Danio rerio: one gene and its partners. The protein of the gene in region 1 interacts with the protein of each later gene in a pairwise test. Links are inferred from orthologs where the notes say so. Each region holds a gene or a part of one and is shown on either strand. Other genes may lie near its edges.

What was found.
Region 2: the proteins of morn4 (region 1) and hmmr interact in binary tests that used the Homo sapiens proteins (3 or more experiments, as listed by UniProt). The two-hybrid records come from large-scale screens. The link is inferred for Danio rerio from reciprocal best matches to the Homo sapiens genes MORN4 and HMMR.
Region 3: the proteins of morn4 (region 1) and bend3 interact in binary tests that used the Homo sapiens proteins (3 or more experiments, as listed by UniProt). The two-hybrid records come from large-scale screens. The link is inferred for Danio rerio from reciprocal best matches to the Homo sapiens genes MORN4 and BEND3.
Region 4: the proteins of morn4 (region 1) and ranbp3a interact in a two-hybrid assay, tested with the Homo sapiens proteins (2 studies listed by BioGRID). The two-hybrid records come from large-scale screens. The link is inferred for Danio rerio from reciprocal best matches to the Homo sapiens genes MORN4 and RANBP3.

Annotation. Positions count from the first base shown.
Region 1 is NC_133188.1:44,272,954-44,277,380, reverse strand, and holds the start of morn4 (MORN repeat-containing protein 4), read left to right. Parts: upstream 1-1,299; 5' UTR 1,300-1,419; intron 1,420-1,750; 5' UTR 1,751-1,762; coding exon 1,763-1,829; intron 1,830-4,427. UniProt on the Homo sapiens protein: Plays a role in promoting axonal degeneration following neuronal injury by toxic insult or trauma.
Region 2 is NC_133189.1:32,875,915-32,879,891, forward strand, and holds part of hmmr (hyaluronan mediated motility receptor), read left to right. Parts: intron 1-26; coding exon 27-113; intron 114-202; coding exon 203-314; intron 315-2,205; coding exon 2,206-2,271; intron 2,272-2,404; coding exon 2,405-2,478; intron 2,479-2,611; coding exon 2,612-2,682; intron 2,683-2,766; coding exon 2,767-3,134; intron 3,135-3,525; coding exon 3,526-3,674; intron 3,675-3,977. UniProt on the Homo sapiens protein: Receptor for hyaluronic acid (HA). Involved in cell motility. When hyaluronan binds to HMMR, the phosphorylation of a number of proteins, including PTK2/FAK1 occurs.
Region 3 is NC_133188.1:36,078,024-36,082,765, forward strand, and holds the start of bend3 (BEN domain-containing protein 3), read right to left. Parts: upstream 2,998-4,742; 5' UTR 2,835-2,997; exon of another isoform or gene 2,292-2,834; intron 2,202-2,291; 5' UTR 2,199-2,201; coding exon 2,147-2,198; intron 1,291-2,146; coding exon 1,142-1,290; intron 1-1,141. UniProt on the Homo sapiens protein: Transcriptional repressor which associates with the NoRC (nucleolar remodeling complex) complex and plays a key role in repressing rDNA transcription.
Region 4 is NC_133186.1:6,421,781-6,426,507, reverse strand, and holds the start of ranbp3a (ran-binding protein 3a), read right to left. Parts: upstream 3,048-4,727; 5' UTR 3,032-3,047; coding exon of another isoform or gene 3,010-3,031; intron 1-3,009. UniProt on the Homo sapiens protein: Acts as a cofactor for XPO1/CRM1-mediated nuclear export, perhaps as export complex scaffolding protein. Bound to XPO1/CRM1, stabilizes the XPO1/CRM1-cargo interaction. In the absence of Ran-bound GTP prevents binding of XPO1/CRM1 to the nuclear pore complex.

The DNA of each region.
Region 1 (4,427 bases):
TGTATAGAAGTGCCTTGAAAATTATCTAGTCAAATATTATTTATGGTCATCATGGCAAAGATAAAAGAAATCAGTTATTAGAAATGAGTTATCAAAACTATTATGTTTAGAAATGTTTTGAAAAATCTGCTCTCTGTTAAACAGAAATTGGGGAAAAAAATAAACAGGGGGGCAAATAATTCAGGTGGGTTAACAATTCTGATTGCACCTGTATATAAGAACACTAGTAATTTAATCAGATTTAGGGTTAAAAAAAATAATGGTTTATGTCAAAAAAAAAGTTTTTATTACCGAATAATATTTCTGCTATTAATTGAAATAATCCATTGAGAATTTTATTTGCATAAAGAATCTGACTGCAGCCAGTGTTCCGCACAGAGATATGATCTCACAATTTATTTTTCTAATTCATGAAACGTAGATTAAGAAACTGTTCACAGTGAGGATAAAGTTGCTCAGACAAAATAAAATACCTGTATAATATTCCTCCTTAATAAAATATTACAAAATGGGCCAAATTATGCTATAATTAAAATGCTGAAAGACAAAGTGCATGCTGTAATTGTAAATAATCTGTTGACTGTGTTAATGGCTAGCAAATGGGACTTCCATAACAATTTCTTACTCAAATTGTTTATCAAAATTAATGTACATAAAAGTGTAGCAACAATTCGCAGAACATTAGAATAAACCTAAACTAATACAAGCTTAAAAATAGGACATCTCAATTTAATTTAGGAAGAGTTAAATAAGTTAAATGCCCACTTTAGAAAAACATAACCATGGGTTTATTATAGTACAAGTGTAGTAATGATGATGTTTTGGCAGATTTATTACCATAACCGCAAGTTTACTGCATATACCATGGTTAGCTATGGTGTCAAAGTCATGCATACTTTTGGTTTAGCTACAGAAACATGTTTGTGGTAAAACATTTCCTTTATCAAACTGTTATCAAAAATATTGTATCGTGTTGTTAACAGTACTAAACACAGACATAAATTACAACATATAAATTAAGGCTAATAAACTCCCGTCACTGTTTCAGTAATTGTGTTTGTTGTTTAAGGTGGTCTAACTGTACTGCCTTGAATGAAAAAAAAAGGTTAGTTCAAATAGCAAACCTTAAAATAGGCAGCAGCAGTGACAGCATTACTTACCTTTGTAAACAGCACTAATGAGAAGAGTCCGTATCACGTTACCCTTGCCAGTGTGGCTCTTTTGTAGACATTGATCAGCCAATCAGCGCTCGCTGAGAGAAGCACAACATAAAACATCGCGAGATCTTTAAGGACAGAGAGATTCAGCGAGAGGAACTGAAACACCGGCGAGCCAGGACCCAATTTTCTCTGTATCTGCGGATCCGCTGGACAAAGCGAAAGGGTTTCATGCTCTTCAGACCGCATATAAACATAACAGGTAAATGAAATCTCCATTTGCTGGCGTGAAATAACGCGAAACGGGTTTTCACAGGCTGTAATTGAGAAGTGGGATGACGTCACCTCAGCCGCTGCTTTCTTTTAGTCCGTAAATGTTTAAACGTGTTCGGCGTAAATGAACCGTTACATTATAAATGATACAGTATCGGCTAAAATTAACCACCACAGGGCTCACTCTGTTAGACTGAGCTTTACACTGTACACAATACGACTGTGTGTGGGCTTAGGTGATGTTCTGTTCATGATCTGCTTATTACATTAGTGTAATTCTGCCACCTAACGTTATTGATATTCATCTGTTTTGTGTGCAGCTTGGTGGAGGTATGACATTAACCAGGGGCTCCTTCACTTATTCCAGTGGAGAAGAATATACCGGAGAATGGAAGGAAGGCAAGACATTTCTGAATCACTTTGCATTGCTTTTGAATGATCATTTTTAATAAATAGAGCAGGTTGTCACGTGGTTTCACATATGCACATAAAGGCTATAAATTATGGAATTAGTTTACATTAAACATTACTGTCAGATACACAAACACACACATGCGCATATATATATATATATATATATATATATATATATATATATATATATATATATATATATATATATATATATATATATATATATATATATATATATACACATACACACACACACACACACACACACAGTTGAAGTCAGAACTATAGCCCCTCTGAATTATTAGCCCCGTTTATTTTTTTACCCAATTTCTGTTTAACAGAGAGATATTTTTCAACACATTTCTAAATATTATCGCTTTAATAACTAATTTCTAATAACTGATTTATTTTATCTTTGCCATGATGACAGTACATAATACTTTACTGGATATTTTTATATCTATCAACATATTCGTTAGACTATCGAAAAAACATATAGCTTAAAGGGGTTAATAATTTTGACCTTAAAAATTAAAAACTGCTTTCATTCTAGCTGAAATAAAAAATATAAGACTTACTCCTGAAGAAAAAATAATATCAGATATACTGTGAAAATTTCCTTGCTCTGTTAAACATCATTTGGAAAAAATTAAAAAAGAAAAAAATCTAAAGGGGATAATAATTCTGACTTCAACTATATATATATAGCAAACTATTAGACAAAGTTGCAATTTGGTGTTAATAAAATTACAAAAGTCATTTTTTATGCAGAGAAAGCAAAGTACCTATTTTGTTTCAAATATATGTTGTAAATAAAATTATATTAATATATTTTTTTTGTTTGTTTTAAAAGGTTTTTATTGAGATATTCATTGCATTGCATTGCACAGCATTACAGTAAATATTACATCTCTATTTTTTTTGCAAAAATAAATAATTAATAAAAAATTATTTAAAAATAAATAAATAATTTGTAAACCCAGAATACACTTTTCAAAAAACACAAAATGCTTAACCTCTAAACCCCCCACCCCTGGGACCAAAGCTTATGCAGTAATGTTGGTGTGACCTTCACCATGTGGGTTTTTAACCTACGCTTTCAAGATAGAGGAGAAGAGGAGACCAAATATTGTCAATTTGTTTTCAATTTCTTTGCCATAAGAAATCTGATTATTTCCAAATATGCTAATTTAGGTAATTCTTCCAGCCAAGATCTAAATGATGAGGATTGTGTTGATTTCCAAAACCTTACCACTAGCTTCTTTGCCACAATAAGGCTGTAAGACAACAGTTGTTTTTGAGAATCCTGGAGTGATCTAGTTTTGTCTGAAATTCCGAATATGACCAAAAGTGGGTTGAAAACTGTTTCACAGTGTAAAATTTTAGATAGTTTTAAATATTTCAGCCTAGAATAGGATCAACACAGAGTATAACTATGTAAGGAAGTGGCTAACTCCATCTTGCATTTATCACAGAATAAATCTACATTTTTAAATGGGTGAAAATATGTTCCATGGTCATTCAGTATAACAGATGTATTTATGTAAAAATAAACAACACACTTATTTTGACTTGCACTAATAATAAGTGATAAATAATATATTTTACATTATTTTAATTGATTAAACGTGTTGGTAACAAGTGGGTTAAACCTTTGGGGTTGGGTTAAATTTTTTTTATGTCTTTTAATGTCATTAATTCATTTGTGTTTTAAATAAGCACAAAAATACTTTTTTTGTATATTATTGCTACTCTAAAATGCAGTTTTAGTATTTTTGGGATGGGTGAAAATCCCATTTTTAAATGGGTGAAAATATGTTCCATGGTCATTCAGTATAACAGATGTATTTATGTAAAAATAAACAACACACTTATTTTGACTTGCACTAATAATAAGTGATAAATAATATATTTTACATTATTTTAATTGATTAAACGTGTTGGTAACAAGTGGGTTAAACCTTTGGGGTTGGGTTAAAAATTTTTTATGTCTTTTAATGTCATTAATTCATTTGTGTTTTAAATAAGCACAAAAATACTTTTTTTGTATATTATTGCTACTCTAAAATGCAGTTTTAGTATTTTTGGGATGGGTGAAAATCCCATTTTTAAATGGGTGAAAATATGTTCCATGGTCATTCAGTATAACAGATGTATTTATGTAAAAATAAACAACACACTTATTTTGACTTGCACTAATAATAAGTGATAAATAATACATTTTACATTATTTTAATTGATTAAACGTGTTGGTAACAAGTGGGTTAAACCTTTGGAGTTGGGTTAAAAAATGTTTATGTCTTTTAATATGTCATAGATTCATTTGTGTTTTAAATAAGCACAAAAATACTTTTTTTGTATACTATTGTTACTCTAAAATGCAGTTTTAGTATTTTTGGGAGATTTTCATTATTTTCGTTTAAAAAGGAAATTAAAAGGACTTAACAACAATAACAAAAAATGGTAAAGAGATGTAAAATTAGTTTAAAATTAGTCCTTTACAGAATAAAACAAAGATTATGTTTACTAAAATTCATGAACAAGTAAATTGTCATTTTTAAAAAGTTAAAGATTTACCTGTCA
Region 2 (3,977 bases), on another chromosome or scaffold:
AAGAGGAATGTCTTGGATTTTCACAGGTCTCTGCAGATATCACCAAGAAAAAGATCAACGCTCTTTCCATGGAGCTCATCGAAGCTAAAAATAAACTGGATGCCAAAGACAAGGCGAGTAATCTCAGTCACTTTAGACATGTTGAAGAAGTGCGTGTGTGTGTTTTATGGTTCTCAGTGTAATCTTGGTCTTTGTTAAACAGGAGCTGAGCTTCCTACAGATAAGCTCGGAAGGAAAGGTAAAGGTCTTGGAAACTGATCTGGAGACTGCAAAAACAACGTTTCGAGTTCTGCAAGACCGGAATAAAGACCTTGGTGAGTCTCTTTGAGGAGCTGCTTGTATGATATTGTATATATGTAAATAAAACCACTATTTATAATATATCTGAAAATTGCTAACAGCAACTTTAAAAACAAATGATAATATTATATGATCTGATCACAATGCATTTTCATTTGAGATTTAAATGTAATGTTGAAAATACATTTTGTGCTCTCTCAGGACTCTAAATTTGGTCCCCTTATACTCAATCTATGTAGTTATTAATGCACACAGAAATTTAGCAAAAATAAGAGCTTTTCACAACATCCAGATTTATTATTTGTCTGACCTGAATTTTTCAGGCTTCTCCAAAAAACTGATACAGTGAGTCTCTCAGAAGTGTTCTCTGAAGACCCTGTCAGATGTATTTATTTTATTTATTGTTTGAAGTTGTTGGCTGTCAGTAGCAAAATGTTATTTTTGTCAGATGAACCAGGAACATTTGACTGTCTTTTTGTCAAATAGCTTAAAATATCAGTTATGTCTGATATCCAAAACTAGTCAACAGATTTTTGGCCTCAAACACAAAAGGAAAAAAAAAAAAGCCAGTGTACAAATTTTTTCAAACTTTTTTTTCAAAGGCTTGTCATGCTGAGCAAAAGGAAGCAGGAAATGAAGTTACTTATTTTGAACACCAATGTTCAAATGTATTATTTTTGGAATATTCGTGAAATTAAAAGGGTAGTTCACACCAAAAAAATGAAAGTTTACGCCTCATTTACTCTCCCAAAAGTATATCCAAAACCTTTCAGTTTTATTTTCTGTTAAACAAGAAACAAGATGTTTGGAAAAGAGCTGAAAAACTGTAACCATTGACTTTCATAGTATTTGTTTTTCCAACTATGGAAGTTGATGATTACAGGTTTCCAACTTTCTTCAAAATAAATTTTTTGGTGTTTAACCTAAAAAAACAACAGGTTTGGAACAAGTAAATGGTGACATCATTTTCATATTTGGGTTAAATATTCGTTTAATGCTTTTAATCATTAAAAATAAATAGCTTTTCAAGTAGTACAAGATATTTTTCGTTGAATTGTGTCTTTGTTGTTTTGAACAAGTTTTGATCATGAATGTTACATCAATAGCACTAAGAAATGTTACTTGAGCAGCAAATAGGGTAAATGCACAGCTAGTGTTTCTTCCCATACCGATAAACTTCTGGTGATCAGTTAATGTGACTTTATTTTATACAGTTCCTTTTGCAGCATCGATGCTGTGGTGAATCTAAAATATAATCAGTTAAATAGACTTTGGCATTGATTTAGTTGTAGAAGCGTAAACTGAGATGAAAATACTGGAGTAAAATTAATTTGAATATTTAAAAGACATGGTGCAGGAAAGTGTCCTTTAATGCAGTGCTTCTTGTACATTCTGAGACCCTTATCAGAGTTATATATCATTTAGGCAGTGAAGATTGTTGATTTTTAAAGAAAACGCACCTTAAACGTTACAGTTTTTTAATCACATACAGTTCACTGGAAGTGTTTGACCCAAGTTACTGACAAATTAAAAGTCCTTCTGCACATACCCTATTGGTTTAAGTTATGAGCATACTAATTTGAATTAATAAACTGAAAATATATTATTATTATTATTATATTTTAAATGTTAAGTTTTAAAATATACAGCCACTTTGGCCAAAAGATAAAGATAACTGAATATTAGATTTTTATATTGTTATTTCTGTTTGTTTAATTTGTAAAAAAAAAAATCACAGTAATGTTGGAGCAATACAGTGACATTTGATTTCTGATTTTCCAGTCAACTGGTTTTAAAAACATTTATTTATTGTTTTCAATGATTACTAATAAATGATTACTTTAAAGCATGTATAATTAATGATGACAATCTGACAATTTTTCTTATTACTAAAAATTTTTTCAGAGGACCTACATCAGGAAACAAGAGCCCAAAATGAGCTGCTTGAAAATGAAATGGACAAATTGCATAGTAAGTTTGCATGCTAGGACCTGTGTTTGTTTTATAATGTTATATTGTTTATATATTTATATTCTGCATCTTATATTGGTTTTTATAATATTACATTGCTTTTTTACTCCTTTTTTTACTTCTGCAAATGAAGACATAATCCAGGAACTGAGGGAGGAGATCAAAGCTCTGCAGAGTTACTTGGACTCAGCGAATGAAGAGATTCAGGTATTGGTTTTGGTCAACAGAATTTGACTCTCCTAAGCCAGTTGACATTTATTCACCCTTAAGTTGAATCATCAGTCTTTGAAGTGCTGCTTGGTTTGAGATAAGCTGTCTGTCTCACTCTCCAATGTCAAAGGATTTGCGGATTAAGCTCCAGGACAAATCCACCATGGAGCGCCGGGTGTCTGATGCTCAGGAAAACCTCAGGTTAGAGCTGCGTGCATTTTATTATTGTTGTTTTCATGGTATCAGTGTACACATCTTCATCCGTCTTTATTCGGCTCTGTGCAGTGAAGTGGAGCAGAAGTTGGAGAAATGTACCGCTGAGCTGCAGGAGTGTCAGGAGGCACTGAAAGTAAAGGAAGATGAGGTGCAGAGGTCTAAGCAGGAGCTGCGGGACTCCCAGAACGCCCTAGAAGAGAAGGAGAAAGAGATAGAGCAGCATGCGCAGGACCTGCAGGAATCTCAGAGCTCGCTAAAAGAGTTGGAGGAACGGATGAAGCAGGGGGATCGGGATCTTGAGGAATCCTGGAGCTTGGTAAGGCAGCAGGAGCAGGAGCTGGCCCGTGTAAAGGAAGTCTTGAGAAGGACTGAGGAAGAGCTGGATCAGCGTGTGGCACTCATGGGGGAACGGTGCTCGCTGCTGGAGGATGAAAGAGGTAAATTTATTAAAAAAAAAAAAAAATGTAAAAATCTTTATTTAAAGTCTAAAAAGTCTCATTTAATAATTGTGTTCTACTCTAGGTCCTCCTTTGTACCACTAATGGTACCTCTTAAACTGATTTAAAAGCTACCAAAGCATACTTTAAAATGTGTTGTGGTGTAGCTTTCTTTCACTAGTTCAAAATTAATCTGCCAGTATTGCAACTGTATAACTAGTATAACTACAAATAGAAGCAACATTGTGATACAGGTCTTAAATTTCCTTCACAGTGGCCTTCAGTTCTTAGTCTTAAATTTAATTTGGTGAGACCTGCAGAAACCTTGATTATGTAGATATTGTGTATTCTATTTGATTTGACGGGCTTGTTTATATGTGATTGTATGCAGCAAAGATGCAAGAGGAGGGTCTGCGACAGGTAGAGGAGCTCAAGGCAGAACTCTGCTCGTTGGAGGAGAGCAGAAAGACTGAGACGGAGGCATACGAAAAGCTGAAGGAGGAGCACTGTGCAGTAACCAAACAACTGGAGGAGGAAAAGGTAATCAAGAGAACAGATATTTAGGTGAAGTTTACACTTGTACTAAAGGGATTGTTCACTGAAACATGAACATTAGCTGGTAATTAACCTGGCCTGAAGAGCCGCTTTATAGAAGAAACTGAAATATAATGTTTATTACTGGAATTCTTGCATTAAAGTATCCATAGAGTGCATTGATTTAATGTATGAAATTGTTCTTTGATATTTACATAGTAGGTATGTGGCTTATGTAGGTAAAAAATCTTCGGAAATGTATTTATATGCATGTGTATAACTAGAAGAATTTCCCCAAGAATGAAAAGC
Region 3 (4,742 bases), about 8.2 Mb from region 1:
TTGTTAAAGGGGTGGTTCAGCCAAAAATGAAAATTCTGTCATCATATACTTATCCTCGTTTCAAACCTTTATGAGTTTCTTTCTTCTTTTGATCATAAAAGAAAATATTCTGAAATACACACTTAGCTGATAATTGATTATTAAAGTAAGTTTGGCATGCAGAAGAAAGCTCTGAGCTCATAGGATCCTCAAGCCTGGGGCTCTCTTCCGTTTGAGGGTGAGAGGGGAGTTTTAGCTTAGGTAGGTCTCGAGAAACCCCTTATTTAGGGCTAATAACAAATCAGGAATTGCTATATAGATATATACTGCTGCTTAAAAGCTCGACTGTAGTGACAATTTAGATAGGTCAATTAACTTATGATGCATGGCTTTGGACTGTGGGAGAAAACCGGAGAACCTGGGGGAAATCCACGTGAGCACAGGGGAACATGTAAACTCTGCACATAAATGTCAACTGGCCTGTTAAGGAATTGAGCCAGTGACGTTCTTGCTATGAGGCAACAGAGTTAACCACTGGACCATCATGCCACCCTATAAGGCAGGGGTCACCAAACTTGTTCCTGGAGGGCCGGTGTCCTCCAGATCTTAGCTCTAACTCTTATCAAACACATCTGAATAAGCTAATCAAGGTCTTACTAGGTATACTTGAAACATCCAGGCAGGTGTGTAAAAGCAAGTTGGAGCTAAACCCTGCAGGGACAACGGCCCTCCAGGACCGAGATTGGTGACCCCTGCTATAAGGAAAAGGAGGATGAGTAGGGGTGTGTTAGCTAATGGTGGAGCAGCCGTGATCAATCATAAGCACATGCTCCTATCGGAATTAATTTATAAATAAGCTTTACAAAGCTGGAAACCTGCAACCATTGACTTCCATAGTATTTGTTTTTCTTCTTATGGAAGTCAGTGGTTGCATGTTTTCAGCTTTATTCAGAATATCAAAAAAATTGTGTTCAACAGAAAGAAACTCGTAAAGGTTTGGAACCACTCAAGGGTGATTAAATAATTAGAAAATTTTAATTTTGGGTGAACTATCCTTTTAACGCATCATGACAACTTCTACCATATCAAATACTGTGCTAAACCTGCATAGGAATTAATGTTGTGATTTAACAAATGTACATTTTGTTTTAAAGATGCTTACCGGTGTTGTCACCTTGATCCTCTTCCCACTGTTTGGCCTTTCCACGTCAGAACCTGTAGATGCTCGTTTTGTAATGCTCTTAAAGAAACTCTCCATCTTTCCCTCTGTGTTTTCAATAACGTCCTCTGCATCTTTCTCGACTTTAACTTCTAGAGAAAAGCCCAAGTGTTTATAATTACTAAGAAATACTGATAAACATTATCTCACAAGTTTTAGCAGCTGTAATGAGGTGACAGGATCTGGCTTTGTTTAATCCTTTTCAGATTTACAGCTGGTAGTAACATGCATCTCTTTAAACTTGACTTTTTTTCGGTTTCCTGTCCTTTTGAAGTTCTTATATTAAAAGGAATAAGTGCCCTGGTAAACATTACAAACTTCTTTAAAAAATTAGAACTGTCCATTTTAATGTCATGCTGACTTTAATGTCAAAATCAACCAATATAGTTTTTTTATTCAATCATTCCTTAGCATGTAGTTCAAATGCATTAAAAATCAGCTATCTTTTTGTGTATTTTTGTATTTACACTCTCATTAAAGGGGCAGTTCATCCTTTACTCACCCTTTATTGTTCAATATTGACAAAAGCTAGGTTTCCATTGACTTCCATGATAGAAAAAAACAAATACTATGGTAGTCAATGGTTACAGTTTTATAGCTTTCTTCAAAATAACTTATTTTGTGTTCAACAGAATAATAAAACTTATAAAGGTTTGTATCCACTCGAGGTGAGTAAAAAGGGAGTAAAACTTCATTTTTGAGTGTCTACTTTATTTCATTTCATGTGATATTGTCACTAATAAACCCCTACCAGGTCCACTTCCAAATACAACATCTATATTTGATTTGATAAGGTAAATCAGTTGATTTGACAGGAAATTTCGATTTAGACTGGTTAATTTGATGTGATGCATGTTAGTACACAGAGAAAGCCTTGATGTTTAATGAAAGTTCTCACTGCATGAGCAAAGAAAATTTAGAATATTTTTACTGTGAGTCTTTACATACTTTTATCAGGCACCTGTCCATCTGCATTAACCATGCACAGAGAAGAGCTCATGTCCTGGGAAGAGACACACAAGACCCGTGATTGTTTAATATCTGACAGTCGGAATATCGGACTGTCACATTGTCAAGGTTTCTCTATAATTACTTGTTTTTTAAAGGATGCATTTGTCTTCTGAGTCAGTATTGCACATGACTGTCACAAATGTTAACTTATGAAAAGTGTGAGAAAATGAAGAAATATGTAAAAACTTTATTCTCGAACTGGTTTTTCTTCACGGTAGAGTTATGTGAGGTTGTTTTCCTATTTGTTTTCCATGTCTTGCACCGTGAAGTCTCGCCAGAGCACCGGAGAGGCGCTGCTTCACCGTACAGACCCCCGGCCACCGGCTCCACTTCCTCATTCTTCCAGTGGAAACCCCACGGATCGGTTCAACCGGGGAGTCAGTCGGACAAACAGCTCCCCGCTGCGCTCCTTACTTCATAAGTCTTTAGGAAAGAATGTGCTGCTGTTAATGTATTTGCAGTAATGCTGAGTCCTGTCCTTCTCTCTCGTGTCTCCCCTCCCTCCCCCGTGCGCAACTCTCCCTCTTGCGTGACGCGGCAAGAAAAACATCCACCGATGAGTTTTCGCTCCGTCTCTCGCCACACGGCGCGCATAAACTACCTGCGCGGTGGAAATCAAACTCACCTTTGCGACGCCGGGCAGCCCTGTGCAATAGGTTACGAGGCATCGGCCATAGTCGCGTATTTAAATCCAGTGGATTTGTCCACGGGTAACTGTTGTCCGTGTTTCTCTTCGCTGCTTTTTTCTCTAGTCAGTGCCCTCTCGCGTGACGTGACGGTACTGTGTCATTTCCGCACAGCTGTGGGTTTGCTGTGGGTTTTTGCCAGCCCACCCCACGTGAATCCCCGTGCTGCTGCGCCGTGGCCGTGAAATGCACGGAGTGCGCGCTGGTGTGGGACTTCTCGTGACCCAGTCATTTCGAGAGGCCCCTCGAGTCGCGCGCATGAGTTCCACGAGTATAAAATCACCAACGTCATAGACGCTTGTGACCAAACACATGCGGTGTATATAGCAGCATTTGTTTAAGAAAATCATGCTTTTGGTAAAAGTTATTACATCGAAAATTATTAAATGAACAGAGCTTGTAAATATACATAAAGCCTATTTAGCAAAATAACGACTGTATTATATTTCTGTTACTGTTTTTTTACTTTAAGTTTTGTTAATCTAAAACATCATTGATTTAAATGTTGTACAGTTAAATAAATGACGTACATTCTCAGTCAACATTGGAAATGTAAGCAACACCAAGAAAAGCAAACGTGGGTTTCCACGAACTGTCTGGCTGTACTTTGTTCTCACAAAAGGTTTTACAATAAATATTTGGGTTGTAAATATAGGCTAGTTGTTGTTTTTTTTAAAACATGTTCTATGGAAATAGCTTAAAGACCAAGTCTTTATATAGCCAAGCTAATTTGATTTGCTTGATTCACTAAATCCAACTTTTGGCCAAAAAATAAATGTATAAACTTTGATTTTAAATGTCTAAAATTAGGTTAGTAAAATTAGCCTACTGTAAATAAATACCTAAAATATATATTTTTTACATGTGTTTCTTTTCACCTTAACAGTTAAAGCCCAGAACTACTTTTAGCACGTTTTAACTTGTTCATAGTTTTACATTTTCTACATTTTGATAAAGTTAACTGTCGGTTAAATGCTGTTTACAGCCGGTCTACCACTTAACTGCCGTCTAGTGGATATGACAAGTACTGCAGGGCAAACGTGAATGTCCACCAAAACTGTATTAGACAGAAAGAAATACAGATAGATTAGATAGATAGATAGATAGATAGATAGATAGATAGATAGATAGATAGATAGATAGATAGATAGATAGATAGATAGATAGATAGATAGATAGATAGATAGATAGATAGATAGATAGATAGATAGATAGATAGATAGATAGATAGATAGATAGATAGATAGATGCAGCAAAACAATACACTCAAAAACAACTCTTACACTCAAACTAACTCTTTACAACATAACATTTAAAGATTATCTTTTGGCTGCATTGTCTGTTTCAAGACTAGCACAATATAATGCAACATCATGCACTATAAAAGCAAATAGGTGAAACAAATCCACTGCTTATATTCGTCCTCGCACGCAAACGCCCATCAGAAACTGTTCTCAGACACTCATCATCAGCTGCACCCGATGTGACCAATGTCCCGTAACGCGCATTAGTAATGTCTGCATTAGCGATGTCTGCATTAAGTCACGGAGCAGTGGCTCTTTGAGATGTGGGTGTGTTGAGGCGCCGGTCGGTCATTATTCAGGTAATGTGGGCTGTTTGATCCATCACGCGCTCATGCGATGATGCTCGCGCTTCTGTTCTGTGGGACGCGCGCGCGCATTGAACGGGGAGCTTCGCGCTGCTCGTTAAAGACTCATTTCAGCAGACGCTCATCTAATTTTTTACCTCAAGAGGAAAAGAATCACATCCGTCAAATCAAATGGGGATATTTCAGAGCGTTATTGCCAAAATAAAGGGTAGGATTCTGCAATAAAACCACCAACTCC
Region 4 (4,727 bases), on another chromosome or scaffold:
TAGGCTATTACATAAATGCGATCTCGACTTCTAATACTGCGCTCACGACATTTGTCACTGAAATAACGCCACAGGAAGTTGGTAGGTCTGTGTAAAAAAAAGGCCTGCCTCCACAGCTGGAAAAAATCCTAGAGGAACCACTGCATATAGCATGTATTATTATCGCGTTAATGATCATTTTTCGATACATAGTGGCTGAGACGTTGTTAAAGTAAAAACAGTGTTCGTCTATAGGAAGAAAAAAAAAGTATAGCTTTTAAATTTGACATGACATGGCATCTTTCGTTTCCCAGAGATGGGTTGCGGCTGGAAGGGCATCCGCTTCATAAAAACGTGCTGGATAAGTTGGCGGTTCATTCCGCTGTGGCGACTCCAGATTAATAAAGGGACTAAGCCGAAATGAATGAATGAATGGCAACTTTCGATACAAAAAAGGAATTAAGTTAAATCTGCTGTATAAAAAAAAAACTTGTGCCACTTATTACAATCTGAGCAAGTATTATGAAGTTGCAAGTCAAAGCATGACAGAAAATCTGGCTTTGTTTTTATAATAAACGACATAAACAACAACTCAATATGATATATCTTCAAATCTCTTTGACTGAGCATCGTTACTTTAGTGCTAAACAATGTGTAATTTATTAGGATCGGAGCATGTTTCACAAAGTTACGAGTAGAAAAACCACAACAATAATTCATCAATAGTATGTACTTAACTATGTGTGTTTCTGTGCGGTCTTCATGATGAATATGGATTATGGTGAGCTTAAGCTTTAGTAATCGGGTAAATCTGCTATGAATAATGTTCGATTTTCCACGACTAGAGACAGTTTTGTGACGTTTACTTTCACATTGCGGTGAGTCCAGGCTCAATTACAAAAATCTGTTGTGAATACTGTATGATTTACCATGATCTGACAATGAAGTCACATCACATAAATGACATCTATATTACTGACATATGGGTCAGGGGGAACATCGCATACAAGCATTCGCTCAATTTTAGACAACACCCCAAACAAATATGCCTTTTTATATATCTAAATGATATATGACAAGACTTTCAGAGCTATATGGTGTTTTTCACATCACAGAATCATAAATTACGATTGCTTTGTTCTTGTTTGATAGCAACTAACTCAGCACTACACTGAAGTTAATCAAAATCACTACATGCATTATAGAAACCAAAATCTAAGCTTTCTAATGACACCTGTTTTGTGTTGATCGAGGCAGTAGTTTAGAGAAATTTATGAATCCAATTAATGTTATCAAGTTGATGGAGAGGAATCCCGCTGGAAGTACCCTCCTATTTTACCTCTTGTGGATGTGAATGGTTATATATATATATATATATATATATATATATATATATAATGTGTATAGTTGTTTCCCAGTACTGGGTTGCAGCTAAAAGGGCATTCACTTTGTAAAACATATGCTAAATATGTGGTGACCCCTCATGAATAAAGGGACTAACCCGAAGGAAAATAAATGAATTAAAGTTGCATTTAAAATATGCATTTATGTAGAAAAAAAAGAAAGAAAACATGCACAATATATATTAAAATATACAAAATACATGAATAAATAATCATTAAAACTTTTAATTAATAATAAAAAAAAAATAACTTATTGCTGACAAGAAAAAGTGGAAAAGTAAAAATGTTTAATTAGTATTTTTATGCTGAACTGTGATCCTTGTCCTAAATATACACTACCTGTAAAACGTTTGGGGTCAGTAGGATTTTTAAATGTTTTAAATCAAGCTTCTCCTGCTCACCAAGGCTGCATTTATTTGATCAAAAATACAGTACAAGTAGTAAAATTGTGAAATGTTATTGATAATCATACAGATAATGTTATTATCTGTTGCAGCCTGTAAAGACATCGGGGTAAAGTTGGTTTTATATTTGCACATTTGTTCATTTCTGAGCCAATTTTGACATGCTACTTTGAATATTCGATCTTAATTGTAGGTATGACTTTAAAAACAACATTGCCACTATTTATTTGACTGTGAAAATGTTTTACTTTGATCATCTTTGGCTGAAAAAAAAAACAATTTCCCTTTTTAGAATTTGCAAAAAAAAATAATTTTCTGATTCTGAAATAATATTATTAAAGAGAAACCCTTCTAAAAAAAAAAAAAACAGCTTCAACCAGTCTGCCTTGTTTTAGAGGGGGTTTTGACATTTCCAACCAGGTCTTAGCTGGCCAGGCCATATCCAACTTGACCAGCCTAGCCAAAACCAGCTATGTCCAGCTTAAACCAGTTCTTTAAGGTTGGCTTTGGCTGGTTATTTTTTAGCCTGATCAGCTAAGACCAGGCTAGAAACCAGACTGGAAATGGTCAAAACCCCTCTAAAACCAGGCTGGTCGACCAGCTAAAACCAGTCAACCAGCTTAGGCAGGTTTAGGCTGTTTCTTTTTCAGCAGGGAAGACATAATGTGCGAATATAAAGCCAACTTTACCTCAAATGTAAAGAATTGTTGTACACTTGTTGTTTTGTAATGCTCTGGTAATGTTGGAACAACGAATGAATTATCATCTGGTTTAAGATAAAGGTATAGTAGAAGAGTTATAGCATTCAAAGTCACATTACTGTTGACATTTCAAGCTGGAAAGAGCATAACGTACTATACAGCAATGCCTCTTATCTCAAACGCAGATGTTTCAAACTCACACACCCACTATAACGTGCGTTACAAGAAATAAACCTGAACAATAAACACTGCCTAGTGTAATAAAGGAACTACATAACGTTAAGCCTATTATTTATAAACCGAATCACATATACCCGCACTACACTTTCAATCATAAATAATGTGATTGTATGTAAACATTAGTCATATCTCTGATTATGCAGGTCTGTTTGAACGCTACGACATTATTACGTTAATAAATCTATCAACTCCAAACAGTTTCTCACATAACGCGAGTCGTTATAGTAAATAAACGGGCACGGAGGATGCTTAACCAGTAATTCAGACATAAACATCACTTACCCTCAGCTGTCTCCTCCGCCATCTTACTTCCGCTGACTAACCATAATCCCCCGCGCTTTACAATGACGCAATAGTGTCGACAGGGTTGTGTTAGCAGAGATGTTATTATTAAAAATGTCAAAATACAATTATAGTGGCAAAGGAGCTGAAGTTAATTGACTAGTAAAGTTATTGTCAATTAAATAGGTTAAAATAATATAATTGTAAAGATCTTTATGTTGAATTGTCTCGTTATTTATTTTATGTAATTTATTTTTTGTTTATTTTATGTTATTAGTTACATTTGTATTTTTTGGATGTCATGTTTAAAATGTATATTAGTTGTTGTTTAATAAAAAAAATAAATGAAAAAAAGCTGAGATGTTATTTGGAGGCTTTGAGATGTTAGATTATATAGCTATGAACAATACATTCAAGATTATTAGGATGAAAAAAATGTGCCGTTGACCCTAATTCATGATGTTTTTGTTTTTTATTCCACACAGTATCTTCAAGAAGGTGGATGGTCTCAAGTTTCTTTTGACTTGCAATTTTTCACCATCAAAATTACCAGTAAAATGATCTAAATTTCATGAGCAAGCACTCTCGGCTTGGAAACTTTGCTTTGTGTATAATTTTTTCTCCACACAGAATGAAAATTTGGAATAAGTTACTGTTAAAGAAAAGAGTTTATATTTGGAGAAATTGTTGGAAAATATTGGTACATGTAAGTGATATATTTAATTAATCTTTAAGGATTTATTCATATAAATCATTTTTATCTAAGTTCAATTTTCCTGTTAAATTTAAAGAATTTTCAACAGTGATCAAGATATCCCCTCGAGACTCCTTAATTTAATGGTACATGTACAGTCATTTGACCTATTATAAGATATAAAATAAAGAATGTAATTTCCTGATAAATCGTAAAAATATATTTGACAAAAATGTACTAACAAATACATTAGGCAAGTATTTGATGATAAAAATAGAGTTATTCCAAGAGGGAAATTTTATTGGAATTCGTTATTATGGGAGGTCAATTGGAGAAAAGCATGGCTGCTACCATACAAATTTTGCATTTAAAATAAAGTAAGAGAAATTAATTTAAAAATTTTACAATAAATATACCCAACCAACGTGTTACTTTCCAAATTTTTAGATATTGAGAAAGATCTTTTTCTGATTATTCTGCTAAAAATAATATGTTGATAACATTGAATGGAAAATAAATTATTTGTTATTTTGAAAAGGGTGATAAACTAATTAACAACTTGTTAATTTTATTATTTTTAATGGTAAATTCTTTATCCACAAATGTAGAATGTTCAAAAACTCCTCCTTTATACATAGTATTTTTCAACAAACTTATTCTGCTAATGAAGTCTCTTAAAGCTGTAAAAAAAAATGTAAAAGCTCTGTCTATCGTAAGCTAATATAAATCTGTTTTTGGTGTCTTCCTTTTGTTTTTTATTTTTATTTATTTATATAGAATTTCAATTATGCTGGATTTTTTGTTGCCTGTTTTTGCTGTGTTTGTAAAGTACAAATAAAAAAAGCAAGATGTTATTTTACTTTGAAATTAGCTAAAGCTATTTTGTTATGTTTTATATTGTATATAAATGACCATAAAATCACCCATTTAGTAACAGCACATACTGCCACCAGATGACAGTGTAAACACAAGAAAGAATAGGGAATATAACACAAAGATATGGCTAATTTTGAAGTGCTGCGTT